Rattus norvegicus: one gene and its partners. The protein of the gene in region 1 interacts with the protein of each later gene in a biochemical or structural test. Links are inferred from orthologs where the notes say so. Each region holds a gene or a part of one and is shown on either strand. Other genes may lie near its edges.

Region 1 (2,847 bases):
GTGCGCACTATGATGAAGCTAGGCCATGTAAAACTATTGAATTTCTATAAGCTTATAGAATGAAACACGGCTTTGAATTTATTATAATCTACATTCTGTTGCAACTCCCTTCTATGTAACATTTTTCTATGAGATAATTTTTTTTCTTTCTTAGAAGACTTTTGTCTAAAAAGCTACAAAAAGTTGAAAGCAAAAATAAAGGTCTGGTGTAGCCCTTTTCTGTTTCATCCCGTGGTGTGTGTGTGTATGTGTGTGATTTGTGTGTGTATGTGTTCTGTTGGCATTATTCTCTCAACTGAGGTTGGTACTGAGGAAAACCACAGGGATTCTCAACAGCTAACACGTGAACATCTACTATGCTGGAGAAAGTTGCTGGGGTCTTTGATGCCTGCTGTGTTCAACTTCTTTCTCTCCTATGAGTGAAGCTAGGGCTGAGTGGATGCAGTTGGAAGTCTGCTCCCCTGAGGTAAGACAATAAATTAAGAGGTAGAGCTACAGAGCTTACCAGTCTTGTGTTCCTTGCTTTCCTGCCGTGGGTAGGTACTCACCAACTCCATGCATCTTAAGACATCTTCGTCTATTTTTATGAGATACACTCCTGGACAGAATGTGGGTAGACAAGACATTTATTCATCTACAGGAGGAACCATTGCAGTGGGTGGCTACCGCATCAACAATAAATTCACAAGTGATCAAAACTACAAACTTTTACACTGTGTGATACATGTGGGAATATGACAGTGTGCGATACATGTGGGGATGGTAACTCCATGTCACAAATGTCACACGTTGCTCCTAAATTCCTAGTTTTACTTCTTAAAATATACAACAGATTACTAGAGAAACAAAATGTAAGTCCCACCAATTTGTTTTTTGACCTTATATCTCTCAGAAATTTTTTAGATGTTAACATTTTGGAATGATTTGGATGCTGTAGAAACACAGGACAAACTGTCTTCTGTAGGTGAGGAGCAGAATTGAGAGACCCTCTTCCCTGCTGCTCTTGTGTAGTAACCCACATTCTAACACAATTCGTACAGTTCCCTCGCTTTTCTTCCTGTGCTGTCAAGGGAATGGTTAATGAACAGTATCTTATGTATAAACAGCAAAACACTTTTATAACATTCAGTTATGAAGGAAAATATCAAAAATATCTAAGACAACAAGTTCTGCATTACAGTATTTGTACTCACACCTTCCTGGGCAATCCATGTTTTTAGAAAAATATATTATATGAAACCACAAGCAGGCATTCTGATCTTAGCACATTCTTACTCCAAACAGTATATACAGTCATATTAGAGTCAGAACATACTACAGATCCATGAGAGCTATATGATGAGGGTCCCAAACACATAGCACAATATATACACTTCTATATCACATCTCTTGGCAGTGGGTTGCTTGCTTAGAACAGGTGTCAAGGCGCTCTCGTGCCAGTGAAGAGAAATGGCAATCATGCAGGAAGGATTCTGCCCTAGGCTGCTTCTTCAGCAGAACAGTCAATTCCTGCGTAGGTAAACTTCTCATAAAGTGTGGTGTTCACGTATGTCTGAAATGAGAAAGGATTAGAATACACCACATTGTTTCTGTCTCTTCCAGAAGCAGCTAGGTTAATGTCCTGGCTTCCTTATCTTTCATAGATGGGGTGACACCTTTTGTTCTCACTCACTCTCTCTGTATGTGACAGTGTTTTTGTTTTCTTGTGAATGTCATTCCTGGACTTCTAAATAAAATTCCCTACACCCCCTGGCCTTAGTTTCTAACCTCCCTTGGTATCTTATTGGCCGCTTATAAAAAGGTCAACTAGTGTAGGCTCCTTCCCCAGGCCACAGTTATTTTTCCCCTCTCTCTGCATGGATAACCTTGCTAATCTAGATTTATTTGCCTGTTGACCCCTAAATTGATGCAGGCAGCTACTTTTAAAAAAATGTTTCAATAGACTTTCATAACCTCCAAATAGTAAACTATAGGCCAGATTTTGTTGTTTGCGTATTCTTGGCCAAAGCCCTTAACCTCTTTGTTTCTTCATCTATAAATTTAAAGGGACAGGCCGCATGAATAAGATTGCTTCCAGCTCTAAGAGAGAACTTGCAGGTTACATTTTACTGTATGTATGAGTGACTATGTCTTATACAGAAATCTTATTTTTCCCTAAGTTCTCAAAGTTGGGGAGCATATCCACTATGCTCCCATAATCCCTTAAGCCTGTTCTTAGAATAACTTGTTGAGTTGTATCAATGATATTTTAGTGATCACTTTGAGCACATCACAGATTCCCAGGGAAAGAGGACTTGCATCAAATTGTGCTCACCTTTCGTTCTTCCAGCATTCTGTTTAAGGACACCAATATCTGGGCAAATGATGGTCTCTCATAAGGCTTCTCCCTCCAGCATTGTCTCATTAGATCATACCTTTGAACACAAAGAGTGTAAGGATTACCTCTGAGTGTGCTTTAGGCCTGGGTATACCATAGGAATGAAGCGTAAGGCAGAAGGAAAAACAAAATTAGTCACCAATGCAACATTGTCGGGCATAAAATATATGTACTCTACCTAGAAAGTTTCCAAAGTACCTTCCTCTCGCCCTTCAAACACACATCCCCTTTCTTCATTTGTAGGTATAGTGCAGGCTTGTTGCCACTCTTTTAGAACTTTGATCTCAACTATTATAGCCATGCAGAATGAACTGAGTTTCCTGTTTATAGCAGCATTTCTTTTGGAATACTACCTCTCTAAAACATTAGTTCCCCTTAAGGAATGCCCATATGTGTACTTCACAGAGGTGGGACGTTTAGAAGTCCTGACACTAAAAACAAATGGCATCTTTAACCAGGTGCAATGGACC
Region 2 (2,991 bases), on another chromosome or scaffold:
TGAGTATGTGCTGTGCGACAACCTCCGAGCTGGGGCTGGCCTGCCTGTCAGCCTGGCTGAGTCTATGAGCCCCAGGTTTGAGAAGACACTCGTCTCAGGCCTGAGATGGCTCCTTGGGTAAACACGCCTGCTGTCAGGCCTGACATCTGAGCTTGATCCCGGGTTCCTTATGGTAGAATGTGAGAACTGCTCCTTACAATTCTTTGGTCTCCACATCATACATAAATAAAATTAATTAAAAAATAAAAATATTAAGTTCCTAATATAAGTAAAAGATCTAAGCTTGAACCATGTCTGTTCTTCAGTGAAGAATTTGTGCAGCAACAGTAATGAGAGGATTTATTTATGAAATGAAATGGAATTCAGAACTTGAAATCTCGTGGAAGAATTAGGTCCCACTGTCTGGCAGATCCTGGATTCTTGGGATAGCAGAGTGGCCACTTGGTGGCATGAGTTTTCTCCATTAACTATAATTATTCAAAGGAGAGAAACCCATTGAACTGTTTTGAAAAAGGGGGCTAGACTCTCATCTCACTGTAACAGCTGTCTTTACAGCCACACGACAAGGGGGGTGGGTGGGTTAGGGGGCCCCAGCACCCCTGATCCCAAGCCTGCTTGCTATTCATTCCCACACTTAGACCTCTCTGGAGAGGCTGCCTGTTCTCAGACCACCCGTGTGCTGCTATTCCAGAGAGCAGGAGAGCGCTTCACAACCAAGGACACAATTCATTTATTTACCCAGTTCAAGATTTAAGGGCTGAGAATGGAGTTGGGAGAGACTTGGGAGGAGGCAAGCAGCCAGGGGAGGGAAAGCGGGGAGGTCTGGGTTGAAAGAGGCCAAGTTCCAAGCCATGGGTTGGCCCATTGGGAAGGTGGCCTGTGGGGATGTGCACAGGAGCAGTGCCCGGGGTTCAATAGGTTTTTAAAAGAAGCTACCCTATTAACACCGTGTCTCTAAGGAAGCCTCAGAATTGGTGTTTCACCCCCATTCCTTACTGTCTACTCTCATTGTTTTCTGTATTTTAAAAGAAACATAAATATTATCATACAACCAGTCTCTCCCACACGAAGCTTAAAGATGAACTTGGATTAGTACGTTGTCTAGGTTTCTGCTTCATATGGTGAATCCTATGGCCTGCCATACTCCCACCTGTCGGTGGGAAGATGCTTACTGTTGCCTGACTCTCCCTCAGTACCAACTTTATAGTGTTAAGGCTCCGTTTCCCCCAGCTTCACAGAGCATAGGCACTTGGTTTCTACTCCATCCAAAGCAACATGACGGGGGAAATGGGAACCACTTGGCCTGCCTTGCTGTTAAGACTTCCACCCACATCTGCGGGCAGCCTCTCACGTCTTCACCCCGCAGTGTACCGCAGATGACAGCTCTTCACACAGCACTGACTGACGCTTCTTCACGTAGCAAGGGTTCTGCACAAAAGCAGCTAGACATGCGTAAGAACTCAGGTTACAATGGCACTGTGATCACCTTGGTGTGTAGTTTGTGTCTATGGAATAACAAATCAATGTGGCTTTTCCCACATCATGGGGGTGTGTGTGCCCAGCTGAGCCCTGTGGACTAGCGATTACCCAGTCCTGACTGCATTTGTGTTTCGATTTCACAGGCTGGTGGTTCGACGCATGTGGTCCTTCCAACTTGAATGGACAGTACTACCCACAAAAGCAGAATACGAATAAGTTCAACGGTATCAAGTGGTACTACTGGAAGGGGTCCGGTTACTCGCTCAAGGCCACGACCATGATGATCCGGCCAGCAGATTTCTAAATGCCTGCCTACATTATCAGAAGAACTTGCTGCATCCAAAGATTAACTCTGAGGCACTGAGAGACACCAATGCACAGTAGCCCCTTCCCACATCAGGAGGTGCTCCTGGGGGCGGGGGAGGATCTGTGTGTTCCAGACTGACGCACATCACTTAGGCCTGCACCGCTAACCAACCAAAGGAGACCCAAAGGCACTGCGGGTCTGGAGAAATACCTATGAGAAGGCCATGGTTAGAATCACAGGGACAGCATGCATTCGGACTCTGTCACAAGCAAGAATGTTACGTGGGAGTTCATCAGTAAATAACTGGAAAACAGAACCCTCAGATGGTGCAGATAAATCCCGGGACCACATTACTCGGAGCACGTTTCTACAGTGTACACAGACACAGCTCAGCTGTCCTGGAACCACAGCAGTCAGTCTCCAGGGACTTCTAAGTAGTGGTTACAGGTTATCATCTGGATAAGCACAGTTCGTTGTTCCGTCTTGTGCTTGACATGTTCATTTGGAAACAACACATTTACCTATCTGACGGCTTAGTTTTTAATGGCTGGACACTATTACTATACGGCAAAAATGCCTACATCTCTGGAGTAGCCACCAAGCGGGCGCCATGTCAGTGCATGTGGAGACTGTACTGTTTTTGTTTTCTTTCTGGCTGTTAAATATGAAGGTATTTTTAGTAATTAAATATAAGTTATTAGCTGAGGTGATTATGTTTAATTTTTATGGTAATATATACAATTTTGCTCTTTGAACACACACACACACACACACACACACACACACACACACAATCTGTGCTTGTAACGAGGAAGACTGTTATAAAGGACAAAAATGCAGTTTTATGAAGAGACTTCATCCCTGAGCCAGTGCTCTAGCCTAGAGATGTGCTCCCTAGTTTAGCGAGATAATATTTTAGAAAATGAAGCTAAAACTTAATTTGCGGTTGAGGAAAATAATCCTTCTTAGGACATTTACAAAGCTGTAATTCTCTGAATTAATTTTTAGAAAAAGAATAGTTTGCATTAGTAACATTTTTAATATCCACTAACAAACTAAACAAGTGTTTCAGAACATAAGGCCAAAATGTCCAGCTTGCAACGTAACCAGATACCCCTAGAGAATTCTTCAGAGCACAACTTTACACTTGGAACGGTTAGACCCCAACTCCTGCTGTTCTAACCCTCTAAAGCTTGCAGAGTGGC
Region 3 (3,737 bases), on another chromosome or scaffold:
GTGAGCTAAAATTATGGAGGGATGGTTATTAATACAACAAATAAACAAACAAACAACCCAACAGGGGTGGGACTTCTCAACTTGGGGTGGGACTTCCTGTTTGGGCCTTTCACCTGGATGGTGGCTCCCAGATCTTGGCATTGGAAGACATGTTTGAAGATTGATGCTTCTTACCACAAATGAAGTGTCTGGAATGTTTTCTGGTCAGGGATCTCTAGTGCCAGCAAGGCAGCAGCCCTCAGATCCCTACAGCCACAGGGAAGGGGAGGCCAGCAAATGCAAGCATTATAGCTTGGAAGCAAGCAGTCAGGCTACACTGTACTTAACAATCAGGGCAGAGCCGGGAGCTGGCCTGGGCTTTCTAGCTACTCTCTCTGAGGCTCTGTCTACAGCCCGTTTCCTTAATGAACAAAAGCAACAACGATAACGATAAAAGTGCTTTTACCTGGGACTACTGTGTTGGGGGGTTTCCTAGGAGCCAGGTTTTGCCGGGAGCATCTTGGGGTCAGGAAAAAATGAAACAGGGGACAGCATAAAAATAAAACTGGTCCAATATGGCAATGAAGTGTTTTGGTGGAATGCGTGTCCTGGATTCTCATCTTTCCAGTTCCATTCCCCTCACCCCACCCCCTGGTCTGGCTCTAGGCTCTGTGCAGAGCCCCGGCCAGCGTGGCTTTCACTGTGTTCTCTGCTGAGAAGTGCTGAAGCGAGTGTCCTATCGGATGACTTGTAAGGTAAGGGAGGCGATTACTCCACAGGCTAGCCCTTCCCCTCTCCACCCTTCCCTGGGGTTGGGTGTCTTGGCTGAGCACAGGGAGGCCAGGCAAATGGACTACTGCAGGAATGATGCTTTTACACCTTGCACAGCTGAGCCTGTGTCCCTGTCCTCACTTCAGGACTGCAGAGTAACCAGCCTGACTGTCCACCGGGCTTCAGCACACCTTGCCCCACCCTCTGCCCGACTCTCATTCATCAATCTTCCATGGGTTCTCCATGTACAGGGGGCAAGAGCAACCACCGAAAAGTCTTTTCCTGGTGTCAGTCAGGCAAGTTCAGGAGTGATCAAGTGCTTGACACGACCTTCCATTGGGCTTAGGGAACAGTCATTCAGCCTCAGTGGGAGGGGACAGGAGAGCTGTGGACCTGTGAGGAGAGGCCCCAGCCCAGGTTCCTTGCCTGGAAGACCACTCCCCCCACCCCCCTGCATCCCCCAGGTCTCATTTAGATTGTCTTGCTGCCAGGGTTGTGTACAAGCCCGTAATGGCTTCTGTTCACTGCCTATCCTCAGGTTTAGGAGGCCTCTACCTCCCTCACTCATGGCTTCCCTTGCCTGCTGGACTTAGGGTAAGCTCACGCTGGGATCCTCTGCCTCAATTCACTATCTGCCTGGGACCCTTTCACTTGATTGAAGCTGGGTGTCTTACAGAAGGTCCAGTCTCCTCCAAGGTGGTTCAGACTGTCCTACAGCAGGAGCCCCTTTGGTTTCTCACCCACTAAGCTAGCATCCACTCCACACTATTCTGCGCTCTCTAAAAGAAATCCCACCCCATCCTGCCTCTTTTGTGCCCCCTGCTGGCCTTAAACTGAAGTACCCTCTTCGTAGCTCAGCCCCTTAGCATTCTGAGCTGAGGAAGCTGAAGGCAGAAAGCTATGGAAGTGTACCTGGCAGACAGTGGGCCCTTTCCTTCTCCTTCCCACAGAGACCAGACAAACAGTAAGGAATTTTACAAGAGACAAACCACGACATCCGTGTGCTGCTGAGTCCCTGTTACCCAAGCCCCTGCCTGCCTGCTCAATAGATGCTTGGTGATTAAATGGCTGCAGATAGAACCAGGCATGCCAAGGAGGCTGTGGAGCAAGCTAGGCATGGTTCTCCTTTCTATGATAGGCTGGGGACACCACATTTCTTCCTAGTTCCATATGGCTCTGCAAGCCTTGGAACAGGAGCACCAGGGTAGAGAAGTCTTGGCATTTGTCTCCAACTCTTCCATTCTTTGGGGAAACTGAGGCCCACGGAAGCGTGTAGCAAGCCGAGCTGAATAACTGGGTATGGTGGCACATGCCTTTAATCTGAGCACTTGAGAGACAAAGGCAGGTGGGACTCTGTGAGTCTGAGGCCACGTTACATAGCAAGTTCCAAGCTAGAACTATATAAGACCTGTTTTTTGTTTTGTTTTTGTTTTTGTTTTATTTTTTTTTAAAGAGCTGGGACACAGACTTGTCAATGTAGGCTGTGGTTGCCTGTGTTGTTATCACCATATCCATTCAACAGATGGGAAAACTGAGGCCAGGAGCGGAACAGAGGCAGAGCTAAGATCTCCCAGGAGACAAGGGCAGAGTCTGAGTTGGACACTCTTAGTGGCTGCTGTGGCCAGTATGATCACTGGTCACTGAGTTTCTCTTTTGCAAATGGTAGGAGAGGGCTGGCCTCTCACACAATAGGTCCCTGGCCCCTAGAGGCTGAGGAGGCTCCACAGGGTCTCCCTTCCGTCTTTGGCTCTCCACCCCAGCCCATGCACACTCCCTCCTGCTCACCTGGGTGCTGGTCCTGGGCTACAATCCGCACCAGGCGCTGTACCAGCTCCATCAGCTGCTGCTGCTGCTGCTGCAGGGAGCTGGAATTGCTGCTGAGGGCTCGCAGACTGTGCTTCAGGTTAGCCAGGGCCCCAGTCTGATGGCCCAGGAGGCTTTGCAGTTGTTCCCTCTTGTCTTGGAGGCTGTTAAGCTGGGCCTGATGCTGTGCCTCCAATGCCTGCAGCCTGGTCTCCAGGGCCCTGCCAGGTGGGACACATAGGGGTGAGCCTAAGGTCTCCACTCCAAGCATTCACCCCACCCCCAGCTTTGGTGGGGCTGACTATGACAGCTGCACATACTGTGCAGAAGAGGCTCAGAGACGTTCAGTGTCTGGCTCAGGGTCACACAGCCCGGTAGTCTGTGTCCACTATAGCTCAGATCGAGAGAGAGAGAGAGAGAGAGAACAGAGTCACATGAAAAGGAGTGAGCAAAGGTCAAGATGGAAGGACCCAACAAGCCGGGAACCAGGGGCACAAGCCCAGGAAAGATGTCTTTGACCTTGTGTGTCCCACTTCAAAGGAGGTAGTCTCTACCGAGTGTGGGCATGATACTGCTTATGTGTGAGAGAGGAGAGGCATCATCGATGCCCAGCAACCAGGACTGGTGGGTCTGTTCTGTTGTGGCTTTCCCAGGAGTGTGCCATAGCCATGGGAAGGACAGAGGTGAAGGTACTCGTTAAGAGTTAGGAAGGGGGGGCTGGGGATTTAGCTCAGTGGTAGAGCGTTTACCTAGGAAGCGCAAGGCCCTGGGTTCGGTCCCCAGCTCCGAAATAAAAGAACCCAAAAAAAAAAAAAAGAGTTAGGAAGGGGAGGTGGGGCCAGCCTCTCAGAGCCTCTGGTGGAATCTCAAGTGTGGGAGACAAAAGAAGAGAGGAAGAAGACAGGAATGCATGGGGTCAGCAGGATGGGGATGCTGGGGACAGACAGACAGGGTGCGGAAAGATGCTAAGAGCCTCAGGGGTGAGAGGAAGGAAGGAGAACGCTGGCTGGGATGGGCTTCTGTGGAGAGAGAATGGGTGCAGGAGACAGGTTTGCACTCGTAGTGCTTTCTTCACTTGCTTGCAGTACCCGGGGTGCAGCCCAGGCAAGTGTTCTGAGATCCCCTACACTATGCAGCTCTGTTGGGACAACAAGCCCCAGGCGCGTTCTGGTATAAAGGGCAGA

Evidence for each region.
Region 2: the proteins of Tek (region 1) and Angpt2 form a complex in vitro, tested with the Homo sapiens proteins (7 studies listed by BioGRID and IntAct, with this or other methods). The link is inferred for Rattus norvegicus from reciprocal best matches to the Homo sapiens genes TEK and ANGPT2.
Region 3: the proteins of Tek (region 1) and Angpt4 form a complex in vitro, tested with the Homo sapiens proteins (2 studies listed by BioGRID and IntAct). The link is inferred for Rattus norvegicus from reciprocal best matches to the Homo sapiens genes TEK and ANGPT4.

What each region holds. Positions count from the first base shown.
Region 1 is NC_086023.1:114,847,297-114,850,143, reverse strand, and holds the end of Tek (angiopoietin-1 receptor), read right to left. Parts: intron 2,415-2,847; coding exon 2,315-2,414; intron 1,553-2,314; coding exon 1,478-1,552; 3' UTR 610-1,477; downstream 1-609. UniProt on the Homo sapiens protein: Tyrosine-protein kinase that acts as a cell-surface receptor for ANGPT1, ANGPT2 and ANGPT4 and regulates angiogenesis, endothelial cell survival, proliferation, migration, adhesion and cell spreading, reorganization of the actin cytoskeleton, but also maintenance of vascular quiescence.
Region 2 is NC_086034.1:77,838,751-77,841,741, forward strand, and holds the end of Angpt2 (angiopoietin-2 precursor), read left to right. Parts: intron 1-1,622; coding exon 1,623-1,783; 3' UTR 1,784-2,491; downstream 2,492-2,991. UniProt on the Homo sapiens protein: Binds to TEK/TIE2, competing for the ANGPT1 binding site, and modulating ANGPT1 signaling. Can induce tyrosine phosphorylation of TEK/TIE2 in the absence of ANGPT1.
Region 3 is NC_086021.1:160,897,658-160,901,394, reverse strand, and holds part of Angpt4 (angiopoietin-4 precursor), read right to left. Parts: intron 2,775-3,737; coding exon 2,536-2,774; intron 1-2,535. UniProt on the Homo sapiens protein: Binds to TEK/TIE2, modulating ANGPT1 signaling. Can induce tyrosine phosphorylation of TEK/TIE2. Promotes endothelial cell survival, migration and angiogenesis.